Linked DNA regions of Cricetulus griseus. The protein of the gene in region 4 interacts with the protein of the main gene of each other region in a pairwise test. Links are inferred from orthologs where the notes say so. Each region holds a gene or a part of one and is shown on either strand. Other genes may lie near its edges. The genes, in order: Kash5, Inpp5k, Sec22a, Fate1, Ccdc70, Bik and Marchf5.

Region 1 (4,808 bases), on a different chromosome or scaffold from region 4:
ATTACAGATCTCCCAAACATGCCCAGCTACAATCTTCCAGAAAGTTTGAAATTTAACAGTTATATTGTGTTTTGGTTTGATTTGGTCTTGGTTTTTTTTCGAGACAGGGTTTCTCTGTGATGCTTTGGAGGCTGTCCTGGCACTCACTCTGGAGACCAGGCTGGCTTCAAACTCACAGAGATCCATTTGCCTCTGCCTCCCGTGTGCTGAGACTAAAGGTGTGCGTCGCCGCCGCCACCACCACCACCACCACCACCACCAGACAAAAGTGACCCTTATTTTGACTGACCTGGCTGTAACATAGGCAGGACAGCACTGTCAGTCAGGGTGCAGAGGAGGAAGTCCCTATGTGCACCGGCCTGTGAGAGTGAAGCCCACAGGTAAGAACCCAGGGAGCTGCAGGCCTCGGGGATGACATGCTGCGTTTCCATTGTCATGGAGAGTAAAGGACATGGAAATCACCTGGAGAGAGGAAAAATGGTTCAGTGGTTAAAAACACTTGCTCACTTCAGCTTGATGGCTCAAGTCTTTAATCCAGCACTCTGAAGCAGGTGGATCTCTGAGTTCAAAGTTGGGCTAGTCTTCATGGCAAGTTCCAGGCCAGTGAGGGCTACAGAGGGGGACCTTGTTTTGTTTTAAAAAACAAAGGCTGAAACAGTACTCTTGAAAATCCCAGCACCCATGTGGCAACTCATAACCATCTGTAACTCCAGTTCTAGGAAATCTGATGCCCTCTGGCCTCCAAAGATATCAGACACACATGTGGTTCATACACATGTAGACAAAACACTCGAATAAAAAATAAAAATAAACCTAAAGGGGGAGAAAGGCAAGAAAGCAGTCCTGATGAATCAGCTTCCTGATGAGGCAAAGAGATGACAAATTCAAGGCCAAGCTGGCCATATTAGGGACGTTTTGTCTCAAAATGAAAAGGCTGGGCTGTAGCTTGGCAGTAAAGTGTCTATCTGGAATTGACTAGTGGGGCTGGTGTGTGGTTCAGCAGGAGAGCACTTGCCTAGAATCCACCAGTGAAAGATTATTGACAGTGTGGCTCAGTGACAAACGAGTGTGGAGGCAGGGAGAGCAAGGCTGAAAGTGGTTCAGACGGCCAGCAGTCCAAATTCGGGATAAAATGGGCAGTCTCCAGGCAGTGTGGGAGCCAGTTCAGCTTGGTATTCAGTCCCAGGCAGAGTGAAAGCTGTTTCTAGATAACAAGACACAAAGGCAAGGCAAGTCCCAGGCAGAGACCACAGTAGGAGTAGTGGGTTAGAGTTGCTAGAAGATAGAGCATGATTTGGAGAGAAAGCAGCTGGCCCAGGCCACACTGTGCCTCTGTTGCCAGAAAAAAGCAGGCTCTGCCTCAAGGTGATGGGGAACCATGGCCAGGCAGATCAGCTCTGCAGCCTGTGGGGATGCACTGGAGCCTGGAAGGAGGCTGGGACGTGGGCCCAGGGAGAACAAGGACCCAAGGCAAGATTGAGGACGGCAAGAGGAGCACAAAGTGGAGTCTCTAGGACAGGCATGATGACTTGCTAGGTTACAGGGGAGAGAGGTGGCCACAAGCCCTAGGGGCAGCAGTTGACCCCACCCTCTTGTCTCCTGCTTTGATCTTGCCGCCTGCTCCCCATCCCATACCTCAAATCCATAGCAACAGGTTGGAGTTGGGATGGGCATGGCAAACAGGTTCTGAGAACCCTGGGGCAGAGATGGAGCAGTTTAGCGGTGGCTAGTCTGAGGAAGCCATTACTTTGCTTGTCCTTCTAGGAGCTGTCTGGGCAGGCTGTTCCTTTCCCAACCCTCCTATCAGTGGAGGAAGGGTGAGAGCTTCACCAGCTGCAACAGAGAAACAGGAGTGGTCCATGGACCTGCCAGAGGACCCGGCTAGTAGTTCCACTGCACAAAGTAGGTGTCTGCCTGGAAGAGGAGGAAGTGGGAGCTGCGGGCCAGTGTGGGAGCAGGAGAGGTGGCCAGGCAGCGTGGTCAGAAGCAAAGGATGGTGGGAGAAGTGTCGATTGTGTGCTTGCCACGTGTCTGTCCCCATTTGCTCCTCTCTGGAGGGCTATTGGGGACAGAAGGCTGTGCACATGGTAATATCCACACCATCCCACCTCTTCCCACCAATTCCTCCTCTGTTCAGATCGTGGGCTAGTGAGATCTCTTACTTGGGGTAAAACAGGTTCCCTGCCCCGTCTCTTCCTGCTGCACTTCTCTTCCCAACACTGGCATCTGTCTGTCACCTACTTAGTCTAAGACTCTCCCCTGGAGCATGGCTCCTCAAAACCTATTCTACTCCCAGTGTGTGTGTGTGTGTGTGTGTGTGTGTGTGTGTGTGTGTGTGTGTGTGTGTGTGTGTGTGTGTGTGTGTGTGTGTGTGTGTGTGTGTGTGTGTGTGTGTGTGTGTGTGTGTGTGTGTGTGTGTGTGTGTGTGTGTGTGTGTGTGTGTGTGTGTGTGTGTGTGTGTGTGTGTGTGTGTGTGTGTGTGTGTGTGTGTGTGTGTGTGTGTGTGTGTCTTACAGTGCAGGAGGTGAAATCCAGGGTTTTGTGTGTGCTAGGCAACCAATCACCACTGAGCTATGTTCAGCTGTGCTGACCTCTGGGTTTTTGGTTTTTTGAGACAAAATCTGGCTTTGAACTTTTCACCCCTCTACCTCTGTTTCTCAAGTGTTGAGATTACAAGCATGCTCTCCACCATGCTCAGCTCACATATATAACTTTTAATTTTTTTAAAAGAGAAAAGCTGGCAAGGGGCTCATATCTGTAGTCCTGGAACTGAGGGGCTGAGGCAAGAAGATAGAAAGTTAAAGGCCAAATCAAGCAGGTGATGCAAATGGTATTAACTGATTTTATTTAGCTTTGTATGCATATAAACTGTTTTCTGCATTAAGCAGCATAAGAACATGCTGAGTTACTCCTGTTTTCCGACATCTTTGAGAACTAGTATGTGATGTTTCACACTAACACTGTTCCATCTTGGCCTGCTCAAGTGCAGGCAGCCTGTGCCGACTGGTGCTGCTAGCCAGAGCAATGCCGGCTTCATTGTGGAAGCTCAGTGCCTTGTGGGCAGATTCAGATACGTAGGTGTGGGAGCCAGCACACATCAGCTCAGGGAGGAAGGTGCTGGCTAACCGACTGTCTTCTGTGGGCCAGCCTCTGTCTCTGTCTCTCACTCCTGTTCTCTTTCCTGCCTATCTTTGTCTCTGCCCTGACTCAGCAACTCTGTTCCCCAAGAAGCTCTCTCCTTCCTCTACTGTCCTGGTCTCCCCCCTCACCTCATCTCTGATTTCTGACTCTCCATCCCCTGAGGATGAGCTAGAAGGGAAAGCCAGCCTCTGATTAAGAAGCTCTTTCCTCTAGATAGTCAGTTGGGGTCACTGCTGGAGTATCTTGTCTTCCAGGCTCCTGGATGTTTACAGGCAGGCCTGCAGCTTTGCTCAAAGCTGAGATTTGCACATCAGCCTCAGGAGTAACCTCTGCAAATAGGAGGGTTTTCAGGCAGACCAGCATGCCAGGACTAGAGAGAGGGCTGCCTGGCTTACGGGGAATGACCGCCATCTAAACCTCGCCTGCACCAGCAGAGGGCGTGCAGCCACCAGGAACTAGGACCATAGCCAAGTCAATTCCTGAGACTGCCTTTGGGAAGGGAATAACTCAGCCACAGGAAAAGCAAGGGATAAAAGACAGAGATGGCAAAGTAGAGAGAAGGCACTAGGAACAGAGTAACAAGATGGAAGACAGGAGAAAACAGGATGGAGGGACACAGGACAGAAGCTGGACATGTGAGAGAGGTTGGGGAAGAAGTGGAAGAAATATCTCAAAAGAAGTAGAGCTGGGGACCCAGCAGAGGCCGAGGCAGAGGCAGGTGGGTCTCTGTGAGTTCAAGGCCAGCCTGGTCTATAGTCCAGCAGAGGCAGAGGCAGAGGCAGGTGGGTCTCTGTGAGTTCAAGGCCAGCCTGGTCTATAGTCCAGCAGAGGCAGAGGCAGAGGCAGGTGGGTCTCTGTGAGTTCAAGGCCAGCCTGGTCTATAGTCCAGCAGAGGCAGAGGCAGAGGCAGGTGGGTCTCTGTGAGTTCAAGGCCAGCCTGGTCTATAGTCCAGCAGAGGCAGAGGCAGAGGCAGGTGGGTCTCTGTGAGTTCAAGGCCAGCCTGGTCTATAGTAGTTAGTTCCAGGACAGCCAGGGCTACACAGAAAAAACTTTTCAGAAAAAAAAAAAAGATAGAAGCAGGGGCAGAGCTGTGAAGTGGAGGAGGAAGGAGAGGGCAGAAAGAGTGTCTTAGGGTAGTGTCTCTATGTATCAGTGTCCTCACTGGGCCACAGAGTCCTCCTTTGTTACACTGGATGATGAAGAGCAGTAGACCAGCTGAAGTCCACCTCCCCTAACTATCCTGGGCTCCTAGAGCCCTCCCATGGGAGCCAGAAAAGGTCCAAATCAAACTGGTGCAATGAGTCCTGAAGTGTCAGGGGGAGAAAGGGGATTCTTGTGCTGGAAGGCAACTGTGGCAGCTTCTGTTGCTCTGCCTCAGACTCATCTTTAGGAATAGCAGCTGCTGTGGTTCTGATGATCCATGAGTGCCTGTAGTTATGTGCCAAGCAGAGGCCCATTCTCATTCTATCCCATTCTTCTCTAGGAGGGAGGTAGCTTTCCTAGAGGACACTGCTGAGGCTCAGAGGTTGAGTCCTGAGCCTCCCGGGTGTATGGGGCAGGCTGCTCACTTCATCCTCAGCTCACACTCTAACTCTGCAGCCATATGCAGTAGGCATTCATCTCAGCAAGCCAGGCTAATGAAAGGTATGAAAGCCACCTCCAGCTT
Region 2 (4,828 bases), on a different chromosome or scaffold from region 4:
CGAGTGAGCACTCCATGACTTGTAGCAAGTACTACTATACTTGGAGATTTCATGCTGGGCAGTAAGTAGAGACTGGAGGGTGGGACAGGAATAGGCACCAAGATGTAAATGAGCCCTATAGCATTTCCACTAGGAATTCTCCTAAGGTGACAGATATCTAGGTGTGAAACTAACCCCTGGACTGGACTCATAGCTTAGACCAAGGTAACCTGGAACAGCACAAGGCGGGCAGGAGTTCCAGCGGATCCAAGCGTGGTGTGAGGTTTAAACCTTTTAATGAATGGGAAAGAGCATGAAAAGCTAAGTGGAAGAAAGAGGAACACAGAAGACAATGAGCTGAGTGGGAAAAAGAGAAACACACCATACAAGCAATTGGGGGACAGTGAAGGTGACACACATTCCTCCATTGCCCACAGACTTTTAACTTACCTTGACAAAGTGCAGACGGGAAAGCACATCCATGAAGAGAGTGCTCCATGGGTCTTCAAAAGCAGCATCAGAAAGAAGGCTTATGATTCCAGAATTCATTTCCTGCAAACTGACCGTTCCAAGTCAGGCTCATTCCCAGGCCTGGAGGATACTGCTTCTCCCACAGACATCTGGTACTGGCTTCATCAGACTTTCAAACCTAGGATCTGATGACCAAGATTTCTCCCTTCCCTAGCGGTGTGGCTGTTGATCTTCAATCCATGACCATTGCTGACCCAGGACCAAGACACATGAGGCTAAACCCGATGAGGATGAAAGCTCCTCACCTTCATACTCCAAAATGAAGGGAGGTCAGGTTACATCAGCCCTCTACAGAGATGGAGGGCCAAGGGGTCCTTTGGATACCTACCCAATGATATATATGTCCAGATTCAGGTCTTGGCTATTCAGTTGAAGTAGGTCACTGAGGTCCACAGTGGGGGCTGCTGAGGCCACATTCCATGTCACAACATGTATACTGTAGAAAAGATATTAAATGAAGTCACAGAATGAAGGCTAAGGAATAGGCAGGAGCCTGGGCCTATTAATGGTTTCCATCACAGTGCTCACGGGGAAATGTGTCTGTATGTTTGTTAGTCTATTGTTTTTGAGACACAGTCTCACTATGTGGCCCTGGCTGGCCTCCAACTCCTATGTAAATCAGGCTTGTCTGGAGCTCATGGGGAATCACACTGCTTCTGCCTTCTAAGTTTTGGGATTAAAGTTGTATACCAGGGTTCCGGGCTTGTTTCTTCATCTTGTGGCAGGAAAAGAAGAAAAGGAGCAATAGACTATAAAGGCTTCACCTTCCCTTTCATCTCCTGAACCAGGAGTCTCTTCCCTTGAACTGGGTCCTCTACACAGCTTCATAATTGCCCATACCTCAGCAGCACCTGACACATCGAGCTGCTAGGGGGAATGCGGGAGTTTTGGTAAGGAAAAGGAGGAAATGATGAGATGGACAGCCAGGAGTTTGTTAACCCATTAGCCTTTCCAGCTATCTACACCTCATTGATCCTCTATGGCTCAGTCAGCAACTCTGTACTCCCTCTCCTCACCCTATGGATTCCTAGAGCACCAAGAAGGTATTAGAGGTTGATTGTACTTGATCACAGGCCTCAGGGTTACAAGAACAGAAATTTCAGAAAAGAACAAAATAAACAGCACATTCCCTTCCGCATGGCCTACCTTACAGATCCCTGGAACTCAACAAATTCTACCAAGGCCTTCATGGAGCCTAAGTACAAATTTCTAACTAACAAGATTTTAAGTATCTATCTCAACAGTCTACTGTCTATTGGGAAAAATCATCAGTTTGGGAATAACATCCCAATCTCAGCTCTCGACAAGTCCCAGAGTATCAGGAGAAATAATTAGCAGCTCTTAAACACCATGACATCCCATCACAAGTTCAGGAAAGCAAAGACTTGTAGAGCCCTTGAGTGAGCATACTGCTACAGCAATGCTCCAAGAAGCCCACACTGTTCCCAGGACAGAGCAAGCAGGAGCTCAAGACTCTACAGAAATGAAGCCTGTGAGTTCCAGGAATACTGAGGATCCTAAAAGGGAAGGGCAGTCTGTTCTGAAACATCTGTCCACCAGACCCTGTTCTTAGAGGTACATGTTCTAAGAAGCATGACTCGTAAAACACATTTCTTGGCTAGCTTAAAGCAACTTCCTGCCTCTCCCTGTTAATATAAACAAAATAATACAAAAACTACCTTCTCAGGCTCTCTTGACTGTTAGTTGATCTGTTTACAGTCTCCCCCTGCTGTCCAACAGAGGACTAAGGCAGGTAACCCGTTTATTCAATGGCTTCTTGTATTCCCAGGCACTTTAAGTGGATAAAGAATAAAATTCGGGATTGATCATCCATGTTCTCAGTTTTGATAATTAGCAGCGAATCCATGCACCATGATTACGCTCAATTGGACGATTAGCGGTGTTCCTCGTGATTAAAGAGCAAGCATGAGACCAGGGTTCACTTCTCTAAAGGATCTTATTTAAATCTGATTTCGGATTTGTAGAGATCATAACCGGATCAAGAAGACCCCATGATGTTCTGCTGATGCAAAGTAGGAACAAAACGTCTATTCTACAGCGGAAGGGAAGAATGTCTTAGACACTACTGTCTGTGTGCTCTTAAAAACCAACAGGACACTTGCTTGGGAAGCATCTGCAGTGACCAGTTTGGCAGTCCAAGTTTAGGACGGGCATCAGGTCTAACAGCCCATTCAATATTGGCCTGGCAGAGTCTGGGGGTCCAAACAAGGGCAGCCTTGTAGGCCTGTCCTCTTGATTCCACCGTTTTTGGTGCCCAGCCCCACAAATCAGACTGAAACGAAGACAGTGAACCGCCAGTAACCGATCGGCCTATAAATGCGTCCTCACCTGAGTACAGAGACTTTCGGTGTGCTCGGCCTCCGTAGGCACGCAGCCGACTTCATTCCCACGCCGTGACTCCTCGCTCCAGCCAGTGCGAACCGGAGCAGCCCTTCCTTGGTGGCCAGTATCAGCGGCACTGTTCCCTCCGAATTGTTTTTCTTCCGGATCCTGACTGTGTGCCTCGGCTTCCGTAGGAGGCGGATCGTGAGCGCTCAGGAGTGTGAGGCGCGGTTGGGAAAACAGAGGCGGGACTCCACTGCAGAGCGAAACGCCCAGAGGCGGAGCGGAGATGGGTTCCGAGACGAAGAGACGCGAGTCATCCGCCCCCGACGCCACACCGCCCTCACCGACCACAGTGCGAGTGGGTGGCGGCGCCCCGCACTCCCAGCCTGCCTTGCGCGAGGGCGAGGGCGCGGGGAGCGTTGCGCGCGGCCTCGGGCTGGCTGGCGACCGTCCCGTGGCGTAAAGTTCTGTCTGTCGTCTGCCTACCCTCAGAATCCGGGAGTGGGCAGCGTGGGAACGCTCAGGATAGTCTGTCCGTCCGCTCGGCCTCCCTCACTCCGCACTTCAAAGTAATTTCTGCGGTTCCTTGGGACCTTTGCATTCTTTTAAGTGACTCTCTGGTCGTCGTTTGGTTTCATTTCCCCGAGACAGTCTCGCTGTTATGTCCTGGGAGCTTGTTATGCAGACCAAGCCGAACCTACCACCTCAGAGCCGAGACATGAGTGCACCACTATGCCCAGCTCGAACCTAGTTTTGCTGAATACAAAGCACATTCTGGGATTCCCGGGCTCGGAAAATGAGCCATCAGTGAATGACACACAAGTCGTGGCTCCTATTTAGTGTATATTGGACTCATATCACTATTTACTTTGGCAGACTCACTTTGATTTATTCCCTTTAGGTCTTTGGTTATAATTTCTTGAAAGCAGAGAGATTGTTTCCCGAATTGTTTTACTAACAATCTCCATGAGATTCACACACTGGAAAGTCAAGTTAAAGATCCTGCTTTTTAGCACCGCACGGTGGGTCTCACCTGTAGTACCAACTACTCAGTGGCGCCCAGTTTCGAGAACTCACAAGCATCCTGCTACTTTAAATGTATGTCCTGGGACAAGGTGTAGTGGTGTGTATCTAATTCCAGGACGCTGAGGCAGGATGTTACTCAAGTTTGAGGCCAGCTTGAGCTGCCTTAAAAGAGTTACAGGCCATCAGGACTGTGGTGTGATCCTTTCTCAAAACTGGGGGGGGGGGGGGAGAGCAACCTCTGGTTACCAAGTCTTTAACACCTTCCTGGGGTGGATGGAATCACTCCAAGTTGTCCTCTGACTTCCAGTAATAAAAATGTAAGGGCTGGAGAGGTCTCAGAGCACTTACAGAGGACATGGGTTTGGCTCTCATTACCCACATAGTGGCTCATAACCATTCTAAATACAGTTGCAAGGGATCCAAGGCCCTTTTGATTTCTCTGGGTACCAGGCATGCCCGTGGTGCACATTACTCTTAAAGAAAAATACAATTTAAAACAAAATAAAAACAAAACAAAACAGCAGTAGTGACTGTTGTCTGTTCCCACTTGCAGTGATGTGAGTGAACCTGGTCTAGTATTCTCTGTAGACCAGACTGACCTCCACCTGCCTGTGCAATGCTTGGATTAAAGCCCTGTGGCACCATGGCAGGCCAGCCAGCCTTTAAACAAGATTTTATTTTAATTGTGGGGGTGGGGCGGTGTACAGGAGTGCAGGTGCCTGGTGAGATTTGGAACATCTGGAGCTGGAGTTACAGGCATCAGTAAACTCTGATGCAGGTGCTGGGAACTAAACTCAGGTCCTCTGTAAGCAGTACATGTTCTCAACTGCAAGCCATCTCTTCAGCCTCCAAACGGTGATTTTTTTCTTTTCCAAAGCCCAGGCACGCTTTTCCTGATGCTTTGGATTTTTCACTCTTCACCATGTGGCTGCTCACAAAAGGGTTA
Region 3 (4,131 bases), on a different chromosome or scaffold from region 4:
GAAACAGACATTAGCTTAATCCACAAGGAAATTTTTAATAAGTAGTCCAACAATGGCATACTATACTTTTATGAAATAGTGAGGCCTCCATTTTAAGGAAAAGTTTTGTCCTGTGTACTTTCAGTGGGAGGGGAGATCTGAGTAAATAACCACTACAACTTTTGCAGTTTCTGGTATAGTCAAGATTCTTATACTAAATGTAGCCTATTGGCATAATAGAAAGTACTTTTCAGGCCTACAAACATTTCTAGAAAAATGTTTACAAGGAAATGAAATGTTTTCTTAGCAAAGAAACCTTCTGAGATTGTCATTTGGAAGTAATTTTCAGAATAGTCGAATCTTTAGTAGCCTACTTTATATAACAACTGGGAGAATGGGTTGCTTTGAACTTCCATATTCTTCCATGTAATTGATTTAAAACACTAGAATAAAGCAATTCATTTTCAAGAGTTCCTCTGTTATTTTCTTAGGTTAATAAAATAATTAAGATCCAAAACTCACCAGAAGAAATCTTACCAGCACCTTTACAGTCAACAGAAAATGCAGATGTGACTCCATTGGCTGATCCCAGTGCACACATGGGAATTTGATAAGGGGGCCTCAGCTTGATTTCCATCTGCATGTCAGACAGATTTATTTTTGTTGAAAGAGACCTGGGATTATTATATCGCTGCTTGGTCCTCTGAATGAAGTTATCTATGTAAAATAAAAAATAAATTTCCTTGCAGTCATTTGTTAATTAAATCATTTGAGAGTGTGATGTTTATGGGTATAAATTTTATAAAGTTTGTTATTCAAAGCTATTCAATTTGTGAAGGGATTTCCAATATTATATTTAGCAGGTTGCTATATCATGGAGTCAACAGTTTTACACTCTAAATGTTAAACTCTAGAATGAAGTTACTATAACCAAATATGGACTTCCAGGAATTACAGAAACAAAAAGAAAACAACTTGTATTGTCAACCAATGCCTTAACTTTTATTTTCTTATCTCATAAAATATGCAATCTGTTATTAGCTGTAATTACATACAAATTACACTATAAGCAATATTTTTATAAATCTGTTTTCTTGTTTATTTTTTACAACATTCCGTAGTATGTTCTGCAGAATAAGTTTAGTAGAATCAATAAAACAAATTTCCTAAATATCTTCCAAGCAGAATTTTATTTTTACTATTTCACCTCTTTTGATGTAAAATAAAATCCATAACTTTGACCAGATTTTTCTGGTTGAGCAAACTACTGCCCATAGGCCAAATCTGAACTGCTGTTTTTGTAAATAAAGTTTTATTAGACAATAACTATTCTCATTCATTTATGTATTGCCTGTGGCTGCTTTCAAGTTGCAATATCAGAGCTGAGTAGTTGTGGCAGAGAAGAAGGCCCTTAAAACCTGAAATACGTACTCTTTGATCTTTTCCAGCAAGTGCTTGCCAACCCCTGTTCTACATTAAGCAGACTATAAAAGATTAGCACATAAACACTAAACGGAGTCTGTGGCTTATAAACTTCTCATTGAGAATCTGTCCTCTGGGATTCGTTCTTTGGACTAATAATCACAATCTCCTTCACAGCTCAAACACATTTTTTCCTAATAGACATCCAAATTAAGAACTATAGATCCTTTGCCAACTATTCTATCAAAATCAAGGTTGCAGAAGTTTCTCCCCTACTCCCCAATATTAGATGATAAATTGTTTATCCTGGAGACAGGATAATAAAGAGTACAGAAAAGAACAAAACAAAACAAAACCAGGCCCTTACCAAATTCAATGAAACAGTATGGTCTGACAGCAGTATTTGTCTTCATCATGTTATAAGTAGTAATGAACTCCTTCTGAAGCTCATCCAGGAAAGAGAAGGCCAGAACATTTGGGTAATTTTCAGTGCACAACATCATGTAGCTCACTCCCAGAGAGCTAATAAAACTACAGTGTAAAAAACATTGGTTTTAAAATTTCAAATTAAATCAAGGTAATTTGTTGCTTCACAAGACTGGTTCTATATACCATAAACTGCTGCTACAGTAGCAATGAAGATATCAACATTTATTACATATTCCAGCAACAACTTTAAAGGAACCAACATATAATACTATCTAAAGTTGTGAATGCGTAAGAAAGGTAGATACACTATACATCTAAAATTTCAGCTAGTCATCACAGAGTAGAAAGCAAGGGAAAGAATATACAAAAATGTAAGCATCCAAGTAGCTAAAGGCCAACCCTTCACAAAATCAGGTGGAAATTATACACTCAAGTCAAGAACTGTTCAGAAAAATCTTATGGACACTGACCCTGGAAAGATACACAGAAGTTAGCATGCATCGGGTGACCACTGGGATTGGTCACTGGTCTCTTGAAATCATCATTGAACCAAGAGTCAAATCTTTTAAATTACAACATTGAGGGGGAACGAAATTATATGTATCATTGGAAGGAAAGGAGGAATTTTTTCATTCATAGCAATGACAAATACATAAAAGAGAGAGAAAGGAGCATGTTTTATAGCAAAATGCTGAGAACTCCCTCGTTGGAGGAGGTAATACTGGAATCGGGGGAAAAAAACAAAACACTATTTTAGAGCCATCTAAAAACTGGATCAGGAAAAATTATCATGAATATTGAATTCCCCAGGAGGAAATTTTGAGGTGCCCCAACATATTTGTATGGCATCGTTCTCACCTTCCTAATGCCATGACCCTTTAATACAGTTCCCTCATGCTGTAGTGACTTCCAACCACAAAGTTACTTTCACTGCTACCTCATAACTGCGATTTTGCTACTGTCATGAATCATAATGTAAATATCTGTATTTCTGATGGTCTTAGGTGACCCCTGCAAAAGAATTGTTTGACCACCCCCCAATTGGGGTCTTGGCTCACAGGTTGAGAACTACTGCTTTAAGACATTTTCCAATAGACTGTTTATTAGTTGTAAGAGGAAATCACATAGTAGTAATCAGAGAACATGTTGACCAAGGTATTCCAATATCAGTAATGAGGGACAAGTGGACACATGCATCTCCCTCAAGTAACAACCTAAGAAAAGACATCACTTATAACTGGGGATGTATAGCCTGAATCTAATAGTAAAGAAACATCAAAATAGCCAACACTCCAATTTTTAGATAGGGAGGCATATTCTTTAACAACAAAACAAACAAAAAACCCTCAATGCTGTAAAAAAGAAATAAAGATTATAAAAATGCTCCCAATCAAAGAAATCTAAAAAGTCATGCCAACCAAATGTGATAATCCCTAGTCTGGATCCTGGGCAGAGAGGGCTGAGCTGCTATAATGAATATTTCTAAGATTAAATGATAAAAAAAGCAGGCAGTATGTTACAGTAGCAATATTAAATTTACTATAGCTGATTATGGTATGCAGTTAAGTAAAAACCTATTTCCAATCTTAGAAAATATACTTTGGAATAGTTAAGAAGGCCTGGCCTTGGTATGTAGCTCAGTGGTAGAGCATTTTCCTAGCATAAACAAGCCTTCGATTTGTTCTCCAGCATGCAGGCAGGGTATCGAGGAGAGAAGGAAATATCTGTAAGTTTCTTCCAAATGGTTCAGAAAAAAATAAAATAAAATAAAAACACATAGGTAGGAAAATATCACAAAGCCGAGTATGGAAATACATTATTAGGCCTTCTCTTATTCATATAATTTTTGTAAGCTTGAAATTGTTTCCAAATAATATGTTAACTGTGCTTTAAAACTTCTACTTTAAGCATGGAAACATTTCATTTAAACATGTTACACTGAAATAAAACTTCCTAAAATACAGCATATGCCTTCCTTCCATAAATAAGTGGTGAGTGGAATATAAATTAACCATTTAATGAGTCACCTTTTATTGTACTGACCACACAGCTGGTCAAGCCCAGGAACAGTAAATCATCACAACATTCAGGTTACGGCTCCCACTTGTGTGCTACATCCTACTAATCACAGCAATCTGTACTGTCCGCTTGATCCATCCCAGTGAGCTTTTTCCTCTCCTAATACTGTAAAGAATTTAAGATTTATTTGTGCATGCGTGTGTGCTGTGTGCTGTGTGCTCTGTGTGTGTGTGTGTGTGTGTGTGTGTGTGTGTGTGTGTGTGTGTGTGTGTGTGTGTGTGT
Region 4 (4,762 bases):
TAAACACAATACCTAAACAAGAGGAGACATATACATATCACAAAATTGACCTTAAAATTGTATCAATAAATGAAAATCTATACCAATGCAAAGTATTCATTCCTATATCCTATTCCCCTTTTTTTCTTTAAAAAATTGACTATGCTCATTATCATTTATAACCAACCCTATTTAAATGAAAACAAACATTTATAAACACTATTTGGGACTATGGGTGTCATTCTTTCTAAACTGCTTCCTGCTGATTGGGGGAGATGTTCATACCATTGGGATCATGATAAAATATAGAAACCTGACCAAGTCCTTGTTTTTGTAGTCTGTAAGGCTGTATCATCTCAGCTTCAGGGGGTCTTGCTTGATCAAACCATATTAGTCTTGAAGGAATCAACAGCTTTTCATTTTCTGTGGAAATACAAGCAAAACCTTTATTTCTAAGTACCCTGTCCTTAATCTTAAATTTTGAAGTTAGAACATTTTTGAAATGTATAAGTTGGATTAATTTAGCAGCATTTATAATCAAATGTATTTTAGCAGCAGTAAGTCTTTCCTTGGCAATCAAACAATTTAAAGAGAACAATATGGCATATAGTATCCAGATTCTCTGTGTATTTTCCGTCTTTATGTGGCTTTTTTATTACTTTATTTTTACTATCTTTCGTTTATTTTTTCTGAGACAGGGTTTCTCTGTGGAAATCTGCCTGCCTCTGCTTCCTTCAGCAAATCCTACCGGCGTGAGCCACCACACCCAGCTACTCTATTTCCTCCTGTTATTTTTTCTCTCACAAGCCTACATATATTTTTAAATGCAGTGTAAACCTTTAGAGGTTTTTCTTTATCTGGATCTGTCTGTATCATCTTGGGAGTGCTGAGTCCAAGGCCCAAGAGCGCCGGGACGGCGTGAGCCTATGGAAGCTGTTCCAATGCCTCTCAGCACCCTGACAGGGCAGGCTGTGGTGGCAGGTTTCCCTCATTCTCTGGGAACCTTGGGGCATGGGGTCATCCCACTCACTGACCCATTCCTTAAGGTTTGCACTTGATTCTTTCAGCACATTGGTTGAGTACAAGCACCTGACTGGGAGGAAGCCATTTTATTTAAAGTCCATTAGGGATAATAATCACAGCTGCAGTATACCTTTGCAGAAATACTGAGAGTTGAGTGTCTGATAAACTCACTGGGGATCAGAACCTGACTAAATTGACACATACATCTGGTCTAATCTGTAGAAAAACTGAGGCAGAGCTGAAACATACAGCAGGGTACACAAGCCCAGCATGTCCCTCTTGCCCCTCCCTGCTTCCTTCCCAGGATTCATATCAGACAAGGCCATCTACTTTGCTTGAAGACTCTGCATTGGAGGAGGCAGGATGTTCTGTACAGAGAAGCTCCTCTGATAGAGTGCTGTACCCTAGATTACTGGCCAGTCATGGGCTTGTAGAAACCATGATAAGCATGGGACCTGTCACTGCTTTGGGCACTTATGGATGCTTGGGCCGTATGCCAGCCCTTGTCTCTTTCTAGACCATGATGGAGGATGGGATCCTCCTACCCGTGAGTAGCAAAATCAAGGGGAGATGAATCAGGGCAGCTCACAAAAACAGTACCACTTAGAGCACTATCTCATCTCCAAGTTGCTTACACAGCAGAAGAGAAGGCGGCCACGAGACCCACCAACAAGATACAGTGGGAACTCAAGGTGCCAATCCAAGGCCTGAGCACAGAGAGGGAGAACTGGCTCCACCCTCTTGTGCCAGTATATCTCCCTCACATTTCTACCCCTGGAAGAGGCGAGCTTCCAAGTGTCTTCTCTGTGCCATCCACCCTGAACAACCTTACAAATGAATACCTGGTGGTGATGGCAGAAAGCCCTTCCAATGTCAAAGAAGGGTATAAAATGTCCATTTCTGAAGATCTAGGGACTGGAAACTTTGACCAAAGCCAAGAACAACCAGTGATGTCAGGTGAGAATCCCCTAAAAAGCCTGTTGGGTATAGTTAATCATGTGCGTTTACTTGTGCTGCTTCTACAACATCCCAGTCATTGTGCATGCTGTTTACTTAGTCTGGAAGGTTATTCGTTTGTTTTAGGTATTTCAGTGTTGATTTATGCTTTTCTTTTGCCATATTAGCTTGTTTTGGTTTTTAATCATTCATGAACCATTTACATATCTGAATTTACATGGATGGAAGATTTTATTATTGGTATTTCCTATTCTCTCATACATAGAGATGGTTTGTGTTTGGGATTTCATCTCTTGATCATTGCTCATGCTACAGAATCCTAGGCCCAGGGCCAGATTTTCAGTAAATACATACTGACCTGTTGAACAGATGGACAAATAGGCTGAGCATCAGAAGTGAATGGGTATTGAGTGATTTCTGCTGTTTTCAGTACCCAGAAAGTTCTGGTAAAACCTTTAAAGCAGTATTCATAGCAGTCTCTGTTCTTCTTTCTAGAAATGATGGAACGTGGGTCCCGGTCACTGGGAGGAATCCAAAGACGTCCAAGGGCAGAGCAAAAACCTGCTGGATCTGGTTCAGGCCAGTCATTTTGGAATGTGACTGGACCTCGTCCCAAGAAAGGGGTATTGACAAATGGTGGCTAGTTTAGGGTGGGAAGTTCTTACTTTGGGGCTCCTGTATTCCCATGGTAGATATAGCTAGAAGTTGATCATTAGGAGGAGGAAGCTTCCATATACCAATAAAGCAAATGAATGAAGGGTAGATCATTGGAAGGTTAGGGTTGTACTGTATAATGCTGGGACTTCAATGCTAGAAGTCTGCATGCCTAGCAAACATGTTGACTGGAAAATGCATCTATAGTTGACCCTCTACATTCCTAGGTCTTGCATCCATTGGCTCAATCGATCACAGATGGACACTGTCTGTGGGTGGAGGTGGAGTGATTACATCTCTAGAGAATACATGCAAGATGTTTTTCTTGCAATGATTATCTACACAATATAGTATAAGAATTACTTAGATGGCATTTACATTTTATTAGACATTATAAATAATATAGTAATTATTTCAATTATATAAAAAGATATGATTATGCTATATTCTAATATTATGACCTTTTACACAAGCAACTTGGGAATCTGCAGAGCTGCATAACCATAGTGAGGCGTTTATTCTAGAAACAGTCTCCATGGATACCAAGGGATGACTATACAATTCTTTATAAACTTCCAAGGTGTGAAATGATGTTTTCTTTTAAATTACTTAAAATCATCTTGAAGGTTTACATTCATCTTCAGTAGGTAGCTTGGGTTTTCAAGGGATGCCTGCATGTAAAAGTTCTACCAAAAGACAGAGAAGCCTGTCACTGCATTTTCCTTGGCACAGCACACAAGGCTAGAAGCTACCAATAGGCATGGTGTGTGTGTGGGGGGGGGCACAGGAAGATGAAATGACATCATGGGGCTCCTATGGGGTGTACTGTTGATTCATGCACAATGCGGTGCTAAAAGGGTGACTTGGAATGGTGTATCCTTTCTTTCTGTAGGGTCATCAGGTGCAGATGCCCCGGATGCCAAGAGATCACAGTCAGGTGGATGGCTATCTCCAGGAGTTTCCTGGCAACTTCCAAACAGGGAGGGTCCCTTATGAGCGGTAAGAGTTCAATTGTCTTGTTCCTAGCTACTGGGGGAGGAACAAGCAGAGGGTAGGGCCATAGGGACTAGTGAGCATCCGAGTCGAGAAGCAGATGTATATACTTGAAGTATTGGGATACTATTGCCTCCTGGCCATTTGGGATCTACGTATGCTTTGGCAAAGCCTCCGGCTTCTTTACTACACAAGGGAAGGACTGGGATCTTTATCCAAAAAGCCTTCAGGCATACCTTATTGCTCTGTGTCTTTTCTATGGCCACCAACACCTCTGAGCCATGTAACCTTTCCTTCCAACAGTCTGGAGGCAGATTTAGTGGCAGAGATTGGCCTGGAAGAACTCAATGGGCTGGAGATGGAAGTCATGAGAAGGCAGGTAAGCATCTGTTGTATAGTTGGAGGAAGCATCATAGTGCTTTGGAGTGGGTGATTTTGGCAGTTGTGAACAAAGCCACCCCCGAGTTTTCATAGCCTTTGTCCAAATCATATCCTGTAGCAAATGAAGTGAGGTTGGGCTCTCCTTTCTGTTCTTCTCAGGCCTCATGCCTTGAGTACCTCATGTTGATGTTCACCCTTGACTTTCCTTTATGCTGGAGATGCTGGACAGGAATTGGGGAAGAGAAAAGGATGTGGAAGGGGGAACAAAGATTCATTTTGGTTTTGGTCATATTTTCCCCCTACCCTTATGTCTTGCCTTTCTCATAAGAGTGATTCCTGCTCACAAGTCCTGTGTTTGGTCCTTCCACAGATGCAAGTGATTTCTGGGCGGCTGCGTGCCCTTGAGGACCAGGATGCCACGTGGCGCCATAAGGAGGCTGTGCTCTTTAGTTTGCTGGTCTCAGTCTGCATAGCCAACCTGTGGCTTTGGATGCGTCAGTAAAGTTTCACAAACACCACAACCCCATTAGAGCCATTCCTTTCTTTCGTCTTCCCTTTGCTTTCAAGGATGCCCTTATCCACGCCATTCTATCTCCCAGCAGCCCCCCAGGTAGCAGTTGGGTCATTTTACCCCTCTGCTTGGGCCTTCTGCCTGGAGATACGCTCACTCTATTGTGAGATTCTAGCTGCTGCGAGGCTAGGGAACCACTGGGTAGCACCATACAGGTATGCCTGGGTTGAGATGCCTCTCCTCTGGAGGAATTAAAGGATGGCA
Region 5 (3,121 bases), on a different chromosome or scaffold from region 4:
AGGCCTACAGAACTGACAACATGGAGACAGTTACATTGAAACCTATCTGGGTGTGAGGATCCAGAGGCAGGACAGGGAAGACTCCTGTAGCTCCTAGGTTATCACACCATCAATTTGGAAGGGTGAGTGGAGACTTGTAGGAAGGTTTCCTAGAGGGGCTAATGGCTTGGAAAAATTTACCCGAAAGAGTAAGAGTGAGCTGGGGGCTGAGGTGTAAGATGCATTCCAGGTAAAAATGGCGGAGTGCAGTGCTCTGAGGAGCTGCAGATAATTAATTGAATGTAGGGGATACAGACTGATGAGTTATAAAAAAGAAATACTGACATAAGGTTGGTGGGCAATGGGGTCACTGAGGAGTGACAAGGAATTTGCCAGACTTCTAGAAGTCTGTCAGCACAAGTCAGCCTTCCCAAACTGGCCAGAGTAAAGAGATCACCCCTGCAGGGTGACAGAGGCAGGATGTCACAGCTCCTCTGTCCCTGTATGTCTCTGTCTGACATTGTCTTAGTCTTCTTTAGACAACCTTACAAACCCCCATTCAAGCAGAGGACACTGGAGCCAGCCCTAGTGGCCAGCGATACAGTCTGGAGGATGGGATACAAGAATCACAGAAACAGCATGGCAGGGAGGATGCAGCCAACCTTCCTTGAAGAGCTGTTTTTTCAAACCTCTCCCCAGGACTTTATTATCTCTTTCATGGCAAAGAGACACATTAGTGTCTATTTCCTTTAGAACATGGGGTCACTCTGAACTTGGATCCCAAGCAGTGATGGCTATACCCCGTGGCCCTGTGTGTCCAGTGTTCACTATGCACGGCCACGGGGGAAGGCTGTTGACTGCGGCTCTTCATTGACATTGTACAGACCATTTTGGGGCCTCTGCTCCCCAAGGATTTGGAAGCCACCACCTTCCACCCAGAGGGCTTTCTCTTCCTCCCAGAGGGCATTCTCTTCCTCCCAGAGAGACTTTTTATCCTCCCACAGAGCCTTCTCTTCTGCAAGCAGGGCTCTTTCCTCTACCCACAAGGCCTTTTCCTCCTCCCATAGGGCCTTGTCCTCCTGAAGAAGATTCCGGTCTCTTTCCCATAAAGCATTGTCCTCTCTCCAGAAGGCCTTGTCCTCTTTCCAGAAGGTTCTGTATTTTTTCCAGAAAGTCTTTTCCTCTTCCCGGAAAGATTTTTCCATTTCCCAGAAGGTTTTTTCCTCTTTCCAGAAGTGTTTCTCTTCTTCCCAGAAAGGTCTTTCTTCTTCCCGAAAACCCAGGATCTGGCTCCGGAAGGCCCGAATCTTGCCCCGGAAATCCCATATCTCTTCCCTGAAGTCTTCTATTTTCTCATGGAAATTTTTCATCTCTTCTCGAAAAGCCTTCTCCTCTTGCAGCTTGTGTATTAGTTTCTTCTGACGAATACTGGGTGAGGACAATACCAGAGACCGGAGGCAAGCCAGCCCCATCCATTTGCTCACCTTGAAGGGAAACATCTTTCAATCAGCCGGAATGGTTGGTGGCTGTGTTGGAGGTCAGGGCTGTTGGCCACGTCCAGGTCAGTTGGTCAAACCCTGTGAGTACACCACAGAGAACACGTCCATGAGAATGGGAGGCACTCTGTCTGATGTGGGAAAATTTAACCACTGCTCTCTTAGTCCTATTAGTGAGAGACACGATTTAATACAGAAGAGTGCTGGGTGGCCATGGCTCTGAGCTGGTTGATACAGTGATACATTCAAGGACTAGTGTCCCACAAACAATCTCACCCAACCAAGACAGTGGTGTTAAAGTGGAAATATAAGTACATAAGGGTGATGTGACAATTTAAGGTGGTTGGTGGCTGAACAATTGGGGAGCAACTAAGAGCTAATTAGTGAGCACCTAAGAAGGGCTTCGGAGGCGCTGGCAGTATCCTGTTTCTTTGCTTGGGAGGTGGATGCATGCATGCATGTCACATAAAAATATGTTCCTAAATATGTTGAAGAGAAAAGAAGAAGAGGGGAAAGAGGAAGATGAGAAGGAATGGGAAGAGAAGAGAAGGGGAAATAAAGGGAAGGAGAGAAGAGCAAAGGAAGGAAAAGGATGGGAAGGAAGGGGAAAGGGAGGGGAGGGAAGAGAGGAGGGGAAAGAAGGGAAGGGAAGAGAGGGGGGAAGGAAGGAAAGGGCAATAAAAGAGGAAAGGAAAGAAGAGGGAAGGGAGAGGATAAGGACTCCAAACACTATCATATGTTCAAGGTAGCATGTATTAGGACAATCCATAGTTCAGATATCCAGCAAGGCCGTCACAGTGTGCATGTAGGGAAAGCTGAATGTAGCTAGTGTGTGCACTCAGGTGCAGAGATCCCACTGTGTGCTTTTTGGAAGCTGGGCTTTGTCCTCAGTGGTCCTCACCAGAGCCCCACAATGTAAAGTAGCATTAGACATTTGCAGGAGGTTTTCCAGATTGTCCCTGTGATTTTCTTTCTCTCCTGGTATGGGATCAGAAAGTAAAGAACTTCCCTCCCCCTGTCTCTCCATCACTGTCTGCCTCCTCCTCTCCTTCCCTTACCCCCCTTTGTGTGCATGTGCGCGCACGTGTGTGTGTGTGTGTGTGTGTGTGTGTGTGTGTGTGTGTGTGTGTGTGTACATACGTGTGTGTATGTGTATGTGTATATAAAAAGATGGTGGCTATGGTATATATGGCTGTTGACCTCTCCTCTTTCGAATAACACAACCTGGAAACCTGAGGCTCACCTCTGATTTCCTCCTAATCAGACTCTTCCTCAACTACCGAGCCCTATCATTTCTGACCCTTCACATCTTTTGGAGATACACACTTCCTGTTCCATCTTCCCATGACCACTTCTGGGGAGGATGTCTTTTCCTGCCTGCCTGGTCTCTGGTGTTCTGTTGGTTCAGATTGTCTGCTTACACAGTGGAGCCCCTCCCCCCAATGGATTTCCTGTTGTACTGTACTTGCTTACAAGCAGCCAAAGACTCCATAGGTTGAAAATCAAAGCCAACTGCCCAGTGCTTGTCTATCTCTTTACTTCCTTCTGTCTTTCCACTCTGCTCCATGTGACATATAGTTAGTTCTCTAGACACAACCCGAACAGTTTGACCTCTATACCGAAGCACTGGCTGTGTCCCCACTAAG
Region 6 (3,896 bases), on a different chromosome or scaffold from region 4:
CCTGCTGCAGGGGAGTGGTGTGTTAAGAGTCTCAGACCAAAGCTGCTGTGGCAAATGTGACAAGTGTCCATCCCCACTCTTGAGCACTGGGGGCAATCCTAGTTCTGCTGTTAACTAGGACTGATCTCACTGAAGGCTGAATCTGGCAATAAAGCTTGGGGTTAGGCTCTGGTGTCTAGTTTTATGTCTTGAAAGAGGAGTACCCAAAGCAGGTGGCCTTTGCTCTTCCGAGCATCATTTGTAGGCCCGTGACAATGTGACAGGATGGGAGGTGATACCTACTGGGGACACAAGACTGCAAAGGGACTCAACAAGCATCCCACCCAGACCTGGGAAATTTGGGACAGCTCAAGGACACATAATGAGGGCATTTGGGAGGAGACCAAAGAAAGTGGCCCCTGAAGTCACAGCCACTGGTAGCTACATGGGGAGGGGTATTGCTTGGTGTCTGATGGGAACAGGCAAAGTTCCAGGTGGAGGCCTTGGTTGATCTAGAAAGAGAATGGGACAGGCAGGCCTGGGGGAGGTACTGAGCCCATGGTGGGAGTCTGGCCCTCCTCCCTCGGTGTTTCTTGTGCAGCACACCCCAACACCATAGCTTTTTGTGAGACCTGCACCCCTACCCCCACATACACACAGGAGGTGGGCAGACTTCCCCATTAGGATTACAGGCAGAAGGAGACAAGATGGTGCTGTGGAGCTGGGCCTGGTGGCACAGAGGCAGGCAGAGCTCTGAGTTAGGCCAGCCTGGTCTACATAGTGAGTTCCAGGACAGCCAGACATATTCAGAGAAACCATATTTGGGGGAAGAGGAATGCTTATAGTCCTTGGGTGCAGGCAGAATGCACAGGACTGGGGCAGAGGCCACCCCTCCTCCTCCACCATCTACATCCAGTGTTATGACAGCCCCCAGAGGACCTAGGGGGAGGCTGGCTGCAAACAGCACTTTATTGAACACTTCTGGAAACAACACTTGATTCACTTTATTGAACTCTCCACCCCAAGGAATCTAGTCCAGTAGATTCTGTGCCTCAAGGCTTCACAAGCCAGGGGTGTGGCCAGCACTCCCCCCCACTGGTGGCCACAGGACCAGCCTGCGGAGAAAAGGCAGGCAGGGGTCAAGAGAGGGGCCAGCCAGGCCTCAGGGGCATTTAGCCAGTAATGCCCCTGAGCTATAGTGAATTCATTTGCCTTACAAAAACCCAGAAAATGTGTATGAAATCTCAGCACTATCCTGAGTTAAATATAAAAAAAAGGGACAGTTAGAAAACACCACAGTTAGGGTGCCGGCACCTCTAGGGGGTGGTTGAGGAGCAGGGGCCAGCCCTGCCCCTGCTGGGCTTCACTGAAGCTGCAAATGCAAGGCCTCCCCCAGCAGCAAGAGGACCAACAGCACCATGGGAAACAGCTGTCCTCGGGCCTGGTCAGGTGACACCTATAAGACCAAAAGGGAAGGGAGAGTGAGGCCCAGGGACCACCTGGGGTGAGGAGACAGCTCTTGGGGACTGGGAACAAACATCTATGCACAAGTGGGGGATCTGGGACAGTGTGAATATGGTATTCAGCCAGTGGGGGTGAGCTGGGAGGTGGCCCTGAGACCATAGCTGAGAGAGGGTCCTGTCTGCCAGAGGAAGGGTCTCTGCAGCGGAGACCAGAGGCACTGTTAAGTGTGTACTTGAATCTCGTTGAGTTCAGAGGCCAGCCAAACGGTTGTTGCACTCACTAAGGCTTCTGGAATGGGGCAGAAGTGGAAAGAGGTGGGGAAGACGTAGAGAGGGATGGAGATTGTGGCAAACCAAACAGCACGGCTAAGGAGCTGCTGGCTGCCCTGTGGGCAGGGTAATGTAGACTACAGGCATCAAGGGTCTTACCCAGGTACCAGGAGTCAGGACTCTCCAGGACCAGATTTTTTCCCTGAGGTTGGTGAGGCCTCGAATCAGGCTTCTGAAAATCCCCCTGGCACCCGTCTGGCTGTAGTTGACAGCGAGTCTGTAAGACATGGGATGGGCAAGGTGATTACTGTAGCAGTAGACACTGGACACCTACATGTGTGACTCATTACAGCACGGCGCACAGAGCCTCTGTGCCCCTCGGACATCCTACTCTCTCCACTACGAAAGTCATCTCTTCCCAGACTGCCTTCTGGGTCTCTGCCCGGAGCTGACCACAAGGAACATCCACCCTGAAGGACCCTGAGTAGTCTGTCTTCCTGGGAGACCAACTGAGGGGCTGCCTCTGGGGCCAAGCCCACACTGCCCTGGCAGTTGGGACCTCTCAGGACTGCTGTCCAACTTGACAAAGGGTGATGCTTGATCTACTGTTGAAGCCAGAGGGAAGGCTTGGGGACCCAGGTGGGGGCTGGGAAGTGAAGGATTTCAAGCTTGTCCGGGGACTCCTATACTTCTTTAAGGTTTGCAGGATGCCCTTAGAGTCCAGCCCTGTGCTGGTTCTGGCTCTGCATGTCCACCTGGGCAGCTGGTTACCTGTGCATGGCAATCCCAGGCAGCTGGGCCAGACGGGGCCCCCGAAGACACAGGTCCATCTCATCACCAATGTAGGCCAGCCTCAGGGCCACTTGGTTTCTGCAGGAAGACACAGAGAAGTTTGGTGGGGTTGTGCTGAGGGGCCATACCACCCACCCACCCAGCCCAAATCCTGTGGGACTCAAGGCCCAGAGAGAGGAGGCAGTGGAATACTGGGGGCCAGTAGCAAACCTTGGTGTCCCTCTCATCCATGAAGTACCCTTTGAAGTAAAGGGTTCCCCTACAGGACAGACCACAGACTACTGAGACATCAGGTGGAGGGGCCAACAGGGGACTCCCTCTTGTGGAAATCAGACACGCATTAATGCTAGGAGTGTCTCATGAACCTGCCTGGAAGCCAGGGATAACTTAGCCCAGAAAGACTATCACCTGACCTCCCCTGTAGAGGACCTGGCAGGGGAGGTGCATGGTGGTAACAGTGGATGGTAGGGAAGAGCACTGGGGGTGCTCTGAGCCCCCTCCAGATGGCTTCCTATAGGGTCTCAGTTTATCTTCCCGTTCCAAGACCTGCCCCTGGTTCCTAGTCCTGAAACACTTGTATCTGCACCCTCTCCAGATGTGGCTCTTGTCTAGCCACACTTGATAAACCAAATTCCCAAGTGAGCCAGGCATGGTGGTGCACACCTTCAATTTATAGAAAATCTCAGGAACTAGAGATAGCTCAGCAGTTAATAAACAGCACTTGTTACTCTTGCAGAAGACTCAGGTTCAACTCCCAACACCCGTGTGGTTATTTACAACCATCTGTAACTCCAGTTCAGGGGATACAACACCTGAGTTCTTCAGACACCAGGTATGTATATAGTGCACAGACATACCTGCAGGCAAGCACTCAGGCACATAAAGTAAATCTTTAAAAACGTAAAAGATCTCCAATGGAATGAAAGACACACACTTATGTGGTGAACGCATGTACACTGGACTGGCTGATTTTATGTGTCAACTTGACACAAGCTAGAGTCATCACGGAGGAAGAAGCCTCTGTTGAGGAAATGCATCAGTGAGATCCAGGTGTAGGGCATTTTCTCAATTAGTGACCAATGGTAGAGGACCCAGCCCATGGTGGGTGGTGCCATCCCTGGGCTGCTGGTCCTGGGTTCTATGAGAAGGCAGGCTGAGCAAGCCAGGGGAAACAAGCCAGTGAGCAGCTCCCCTTCCATGGCCTCTGTATCAGCTCCTGCTTCCAGTTATCCTACCCTGTTTGAGTTCCTTCCCTAACTTCCTTCAGTAATAAACAGCAATATGGAAGTGTAAGCCTAATAAACCCTTTCCTCCCTAACTTGCTCTTTGGTCATGGTGTTTTGTCGTATCAATAGAAACCCTAACTAAGACATACACACACTGAAACCAGCC
Region 7 (4,881 bases), on a different chromosome or scaffold from region 4:
GTCTGTCTCTGTAATCTAGGCTGGTTTTGAACTTGTGAAGAACCTCCCAGATCTGCCAGGCATTCACATGTAGGGTTTTGTTTGTTCTTTTGAAACTGACTTGAACTCACTAATAGTAGAGGGTGACCTTGAATTCCTGCTCCTCCTGCCTCCACCTCTCCAATGCTGGGATTATAGGATTGCTGGGGGTTTGTTTTTTAAAGACCATAGTCCCGGCTGCTCTGGGATTCGTTACACAGACCAGGCAGCTTCAAATTCCAGGTAATTCTTCTGTCCTGGTTTCCCAAGTCTGGCATTTAGAGGCCCGATATTTGTAACAAAATGTAAGCACAGGTAAACAAAAATTACTAAACACCCACCAATCACAGCACTAAGAAACGCCACAGGTCGCCCAAATTACGCATTTGTTTAAGTCAACAACAGCTCCTTCCTCCCTCAAGGCTATCCCTCCGGCGTCAGAGAAGACGGGGGTGGGGGGGGATGATTTGTGACTTCTCCCTTTTTGATCCCTCGCCCTGATCCACCTGCTTAGAAGTGTCAAGGAAACTAGAACTGGTTAACGGTGACCAGCTGCAGAAAGAAACAAACGTCCCTGACAACCCACAGCTGAGCAAGCAAGGGCTGTTTATTCACCAACGCGTTCGTTCCTTTTGGGGGCTGCCGGCGAGCCCTGGAAGGATGGGCGACAGGCAGCACCTCGGAGAAGGTTCCTGGACAGGCAGAGGGGTCCTCTCGCACCCGCCACCCACGCCCGATCCTCTCGTCGCACTCGCGCGCGCGCACACACACACACACACACACACACACACACACACACACACACACACTGCACTCACGCGCACACACGCGCGCGCACACACACACACTGCACTCACGCGCACACACGCGCGCGCACACACACACTGCACCACGCGCACACCCGCGCGCGCGCGCACACACACACACACACACACACACACACTGCACCCACGCGCACACTCAGGCGCACAGGCGCGCGCGCACACACACACACACAAACACACTGCACTCACGCGCGCACACACACGCGCGCGCACACACAAACTGCACTCACGCGCACACGCGCGCGCGCACACACACACAAACACACTGCACCCACGCGCGCGCGCGCGCGCACACACACACACACACACACACACACACACACACACACACTCACGCACACCGGTGAGAACGGTCGCGTTACCCACCCGTCCGCCCGCCCGCCCCTCCGGAGCAGCCCCGCACTAAGTCACCCGGTCCCACCCCGAAGATGGGCTCTGACGCGGCCGAGGCTGACCCGAGCGCCCGACCTCCCGCCACCGCGGCCGGGCGTGCTGGACCCGACCCAGAAACTGGCCCTCCAAGCCACCTCCCCTCACCTGGCTCTGTCCCACCTGAGCGCGAGAGCTGAGGGGGCAAGACGCGGAGAAGGGGCGCTGACCTTGTTGCTACTGACAGCGGAGCGCCACATGCTGCCGCTTCCCGGACAGCGGCCCGAAGGACATTTTTCCCCCTGGAGGAAGGAAACGGGAGGGCGCCGGCCCTGCGGCGGCGGGCGCGGCGGCGGGGGTCCCAGCGGGCTGTGCAGCCTCTAGCGGGGACGGTCCGAGGACTACATCTCCCAGGCTGCTCCGAGCCGCCCCTGCGTCGTGACCCCGGCGCGCACGGAGGCGGTGACTCTTACCTCACAGAGGTAGCTCCTCCGCCGGCAGCAGCTCGGCGCCCCGGCGGTCCATGGACCGGAACCCCGGGCGGACCGGCAGGAACCCGGGCCGCGACCGCCGCCTCCCGGCCCCAGGCTCCTCCCCCTCGCTCCCCGCCGCCCCTGCGGACGCCCGCCGGCCGCGCACCGCCGCGGCGGGCCTCACGGAGCCGCGCCGGGAGGCTGTGTGGCGGGGCCGCGGACGCCGCGGGACTGAGGCCTACTCCGCCGCCTCTCAGTGCTATTGTCCCCGGGCCTGGCCCTGAGCGGAGCTGCGGGCGAGGGCCGAGCTCGCCGGCTCCGCGGAAGATGCCGGACCAAGCCCTTCAACAGATGCTGGACAGGTACGAGCAGGGCTGGGCCGGGAACCGCCGGCCTCCGTCCTGGGCCTGCCCATGCTGGCCTCGAGGCCCCGAGAGCGCGGATCCTGGCGTCCGCCGAGAGTTCCACTGCCCCGGGGCCGGGAGAGAGGCTCCGAGTTTGGAGATGGCACTGAGGGGAAGATTGGGCGAACGGTCTGGGTCCTAGACTTAGAAACTTAAAGGAGTGAGGTCTTCTTCTTCTGAAAAGCCTGTCTTTTGAGGTGAAGGGTCGCTGTTGTTAACCCATAGAATTAGTTTCTTTTCCCCACCTCCTCCCCCCGGGGTATGTTGTGAAGGGTTTGGCAGCTATGCCCTGGGAAGAACTAGATTATCTTCCTGGGCAATGATCCCTTGGACTTTTAAGCCTCTCTCCACAATGCAGGCATAGGCATTCTTTTTTAAAAGCCTGAGTTTCGGTTCTCCTTCCAACCCCCATCCCATCCCCGCCCCCAAGCCGTAAGGTCAGAATATCCACAAGGGAGCCTTAACGGTCACACTGGAGTAGAGGTTATGGAGTACAGCCACATGCATGCAACATTGAACACTTGAGGATCGTTGAGTTTCTAGAAACGTGTTGGCTCGTACTGGGACCAGTTGCCCTTTCTTGGGGGTCTCCAGCCCGTAAAACTCTTTGAGAAGTCAACTGCACCGCCCTCTGCTGTTTAAATTCCAACCAGTGACTTTTTGGAGACTAAATCCACTTTCTCTCCTAGGCACCAGCTTCTTTCTCTGACCAGTTGTTCAAATTCATGTTTGTGGTTGCTTGCAGCCCCAGATAGACCACCGGCCACCCTGTTCAGCAGCCATTAACTGTTAGGATTGGGGGGTGGGGGTCACACAAAGCTCCACCCGAGAAGGCAATTCTCATGTTTTATACTAAATCCTAGGACAGGACTTAGCAGGTGTTCTGTTGTCAGAACTAATGAAGTTGTTGGTTTCTCCAGTGGTTTGGGAGTCTGGTCACTTACCAGGTTTTCCTTAGAGTTTATCATTATTTGACTCTAAGGTGTGGCATGCTAAAATGTGCCCAGAGAGATTACTGCCTGCCACATCGACTCCAGAAGGTATTGCATAGTTGTTTGCTCTGATGGCATTCCACTTTCACCTTCACGTGGTGACTTTTAAAAAAATCCTTAGGTTTAAATGTTGTCCTGGCTTGTCTTACATTCTTTAGAGATTCGCTTATAAGCCAGTGAGTACTAGTGAAGAATTTACAGAAACTTGGGAATTCCGGATGCCCTTTGCAGAAATGTATATATAAAATGTATTTTGCTCCTTTTCCACTCCACTACCCTAGCTCATCCCCCTCCCTAGTCACCGTCCTGTTTTCATGTCTTGTATGTGTTCCACTGTATTTAATTAGGATTGATTGCATAAGCATGGGTCTGGGTTATTTACAGGCGTGTGGGCAAGTTATCAGTGGCTACACCACTAAATTTACTCCCTTCTCCTCCAGCAGCCAATGTCCAGAGTTACCGGGTGGGGCATGGGGCTTCATGAATCCCTCCTCCATCTCTGATGTAATGTTGCTAGGCCCCATCTTGTGCAGGTCTTACACAGGTAAGCACAGCTACCTGTGGTTCATGAATCCACAGCACTCCTCCTCATCTCCCAGTTCTTACATTTGTTCTGCCCCCTTCCAGTTTTTTTCTTTTAGAAAGCTTGAAATTTTTATTATAAAATACTGAGGAACAAAATCTAAGGTTATATATAATTTATGAGGAATATAAATACAACTATTCTTGCTTCCACGATACTCAGTTTTTATAGTGCTGGGACTTGAAGCCACAGCTTCATGCATGCTAGGTAAGCATTGTAAGGCTGAACTACATTTCCATCCCTTACTTAATACCGATAATTATTCTGAATATGTTCTGTCCTCAGAATAACTTACGTATGTGGTGATATATCATTTATGATTTATTAAAGCTTGCCTAGGGATTCAGAAAGTAAAGCAGCCAGCCACTAGCTGTCATCTATAGCTCAGGCTGAAAGGGCTGATCCTAGAGCTCTTCACCAAGCCTCAGACTGCTGCCTCTCCTCAGTGTGGCTGGAGAATGAATGCATGATACTGACTACTGAAGACCCTGCTTCTATCTTCTATAGCCGGCTAGCGCTGGGATTAAAGGCCTGTGATCTGTTACTCTTTTAGAGTAACTTCAATCTCATGTGTTCCTGGGAAGCCTTGAATTCACAGAGATCCATCTACCTCTTAACCCTGAGTGCTAAGATTAAAAGGTGTGTACCACCACCTCCCAGCTTCTGGCTGCTGGTCTTAAAGGTGCGTGCCTGGCTTCTATGACTTATAGCTAACTTTGCTTTTTGAATCCTCAGGCAAGCTTTAATAAATCATAAGTAATATATCACTACATACATAGGAATTTCTAGATATTATCCCCACATTATTTTGTCAAAATATATATCCAGCTTGAAAGGAGACAAATATACTTAGAAAATTACAAGTTGTATTAAATATATATTTATACTAACAACATCTCAGCTACACTATTTGCTCATATACTTAGCAATTGCAGTTTTATGCTGGAATGTTAGACATCCTGTGAATATCCACAGTAATGTAATATACTTTAATTGAATTGTACCCATAAAATGGCTAAATTGATAAGTTTCATGATCTGTATATTTTACCATGGAACCTTTTTTTAATGAAGCAGAATTGAAGATTTTATTAAAGATATCTTAATATTGGCTTCAGTTAGCATGGGAGTTAAGAGCAAAGAAGTGAGCTGGGCAGTGGTAGCGCACTCCTTTAATGCCAGTACTCGGGAAGCAGAGGCAGACAGATCTCCGTGAGTT

The links.
Region 1: the proteins of Fate1 (region 4) and Kash5 interact in binary tests that used the Homo sapiens proteins (3 or more experiments, as listed by UniProt). The two-hybrid records come from large-scale screens. The link is inferred for Cricetulus griseus from reciprocal best matches to the Homo sapiens genes FATE1 and KASH5.
Region 2: the proteins of Fate1 (region 4) and Inpp5k interact in binary tests that used the Homo sapiens proteins (3 or more experiments, as listed by UniProt). The link is inferred for Cricetulus griseus from reciprocal best matches to the Homo sapiens genes FATE1 and INPP5K.
Region 3: the proteins of Fate1 (region 4) and Sec22a interact in binary tests that used the Homo sapiens proteins (3 or more experiments, as listed by UniProt). The two-hybrid records come from large-scale screens. The link is inferred for Cricetulus griseus from reciprocal best matches to the Homo sapiens genes FATE1 and SEC22A.
Region 5: the proteins of Fate1 (region 4) and Ccdc70 interact in binary tests that used the Homo sapiens proteins (3 or more experiments, as listed by UniProt). The two-hybrid records come from large-scale screens. The link is inferred for Cricetulus griseus from reciprocal best matches to the Homo sapiens genes FATE1 and CCDC70.
Region 6: the proteins of Fate1 (region 4) and Bik interact in binary tests that used the Homo sapiens proteins (3 or more experiments, as listed by UniProt). The two-hybrid records come from large-scale screens. The link is inferred for Cricetulus griseus from reciprocal best matches to the Homo sapiens genes FATE1 and BIK.
Region 7: the proteins of Fate1 (region 4) and Marchf5 interact in binary tests that used the Homo sapiens proteins (3 or more experiments, as listed by UniProt). The two-hybrid records come from large-scale screens. The link is inferred for Cricetulus griseus from reciprocal best matches to the Homo sapiens genes FATE1 and MARCHF5.

Annotation. Positions count from the first base shown.
Region 1 is NC_048599.1:154,093,110-154,097,917, reverse strand, and holds the start of Kash5 (protein KASH5), read left to right. Parts: upstream 1-1,781; 5' UTR 1,782-1,859; coding exon 1,860-1,902; intron 1,903-4,808. UniProt on the Homo sapiens protein: As a component of the LINC (LInker of Nucleoskeleton and Cytoskeleton) complex, involved in the connection between the nuclear lamina and the cytoskeleton.
Region 2 is NC_048600.1:89,088,300-89,093,127, reverse strand, and holds the start of Inpp5k (inositol polyphosphate 5-phosphatase K), read right to left. Parts: upstream 3,188-4,828; 5' UTR 2,916-3,187; coding exon 2,860-2,915; intron 947-2,859; coding exon 839-946; intron 539-838; coding exon 430-538; intron 1-429. UniProt on the Homo sapiens protein: Inositol 5-phosphatase which acts on inositol 1,4,5-trisphosphate, inositol 1,3,4,5-tetrakisphosphate, phosphatidylinositol 4,5-bisphosphate and phosphatidylinositol 3,4,5-trisphosphate.
Region 3 is NC_048597.1:54,301,848-54,305,978, reverse strand, and holds part of Sec22a (vesicle-trafficking protein SEC22a), read right to left. Parts: intron 1,933-4,131; coding exon 1,769-1,932; intron 697-1,768; coding exon 502-696; intron 1-501. UniProt on the Homo sapiens protein: May be involved in vesicle transport between the ER and the Golgi complex.
Region 4 is NC_048604.1:3,690,780-3,695,541, reverse strand, and holds the start of Fate1 (fetal and adult testis-expressed transcript protein), read left to right. Parts: upstream 1-1,853; coding exon 1,854-1,959; intron 1,960-2,454; coding exon 2,455-2,582; intron 2,583-3,505; coding exon 3,506-3,612; intron 3,613-3,909; coding exon 3,910-3,985; intron 3,986-4,357; coding exon 4,358-4,489; 3' UTR 4,490-4,762. UniProt on the Homo sapiens protein: Involved in the regulation of endoplasmic reticulum (ER)-mitochondria coupling. Negatively regulates the ER-mitochondria distance and Ca(2+) transfer from ER to mitochondria possibly implicating it in the regulation of apoptosis.
Region 5 is NW_023276807.1:61,678,101-61,681,221, forward strand, and holds Ccdc70 (coiled-coil domain-containing protein 70), read right to left. Parts: upstream 1,479-3,121; coding exon 807-1,478; downstream 1-806.
Region 6 is NC_048595.1:380,439,396-380,443,291, reverse strand, and holds the end of Bik (bcl-2-interacting killer), read right to left. Parts: intron 2,583-3,896; coding exon 2,484-2,582; intron 1,990-2,483; coding exon 1,872-1,989; intron 1,436-1,871; coding exon 1,343-1,435; 3' UTR 962-1,342; downstream 1-961.
Region 7 is NC_048596.1:24,575,356-24,580,236, reverse strand, and holds the start of Marchf5 (E3 ubiquitin-protein ligase MARCHF5), read left to right. Parts: upstream 1-1,911; 5' UTR 1,912-2,011; coding exon 2,012-2,046; intron 2,047-4,881. UniProt on the Homo sapiens protein: Mitochondrial E3 ubiquitin-protein ligase that plays a crucial role in the control of mitochondrial morphology by acting as a positive regulator of mitochondrial fission and as an important regulator of immune response.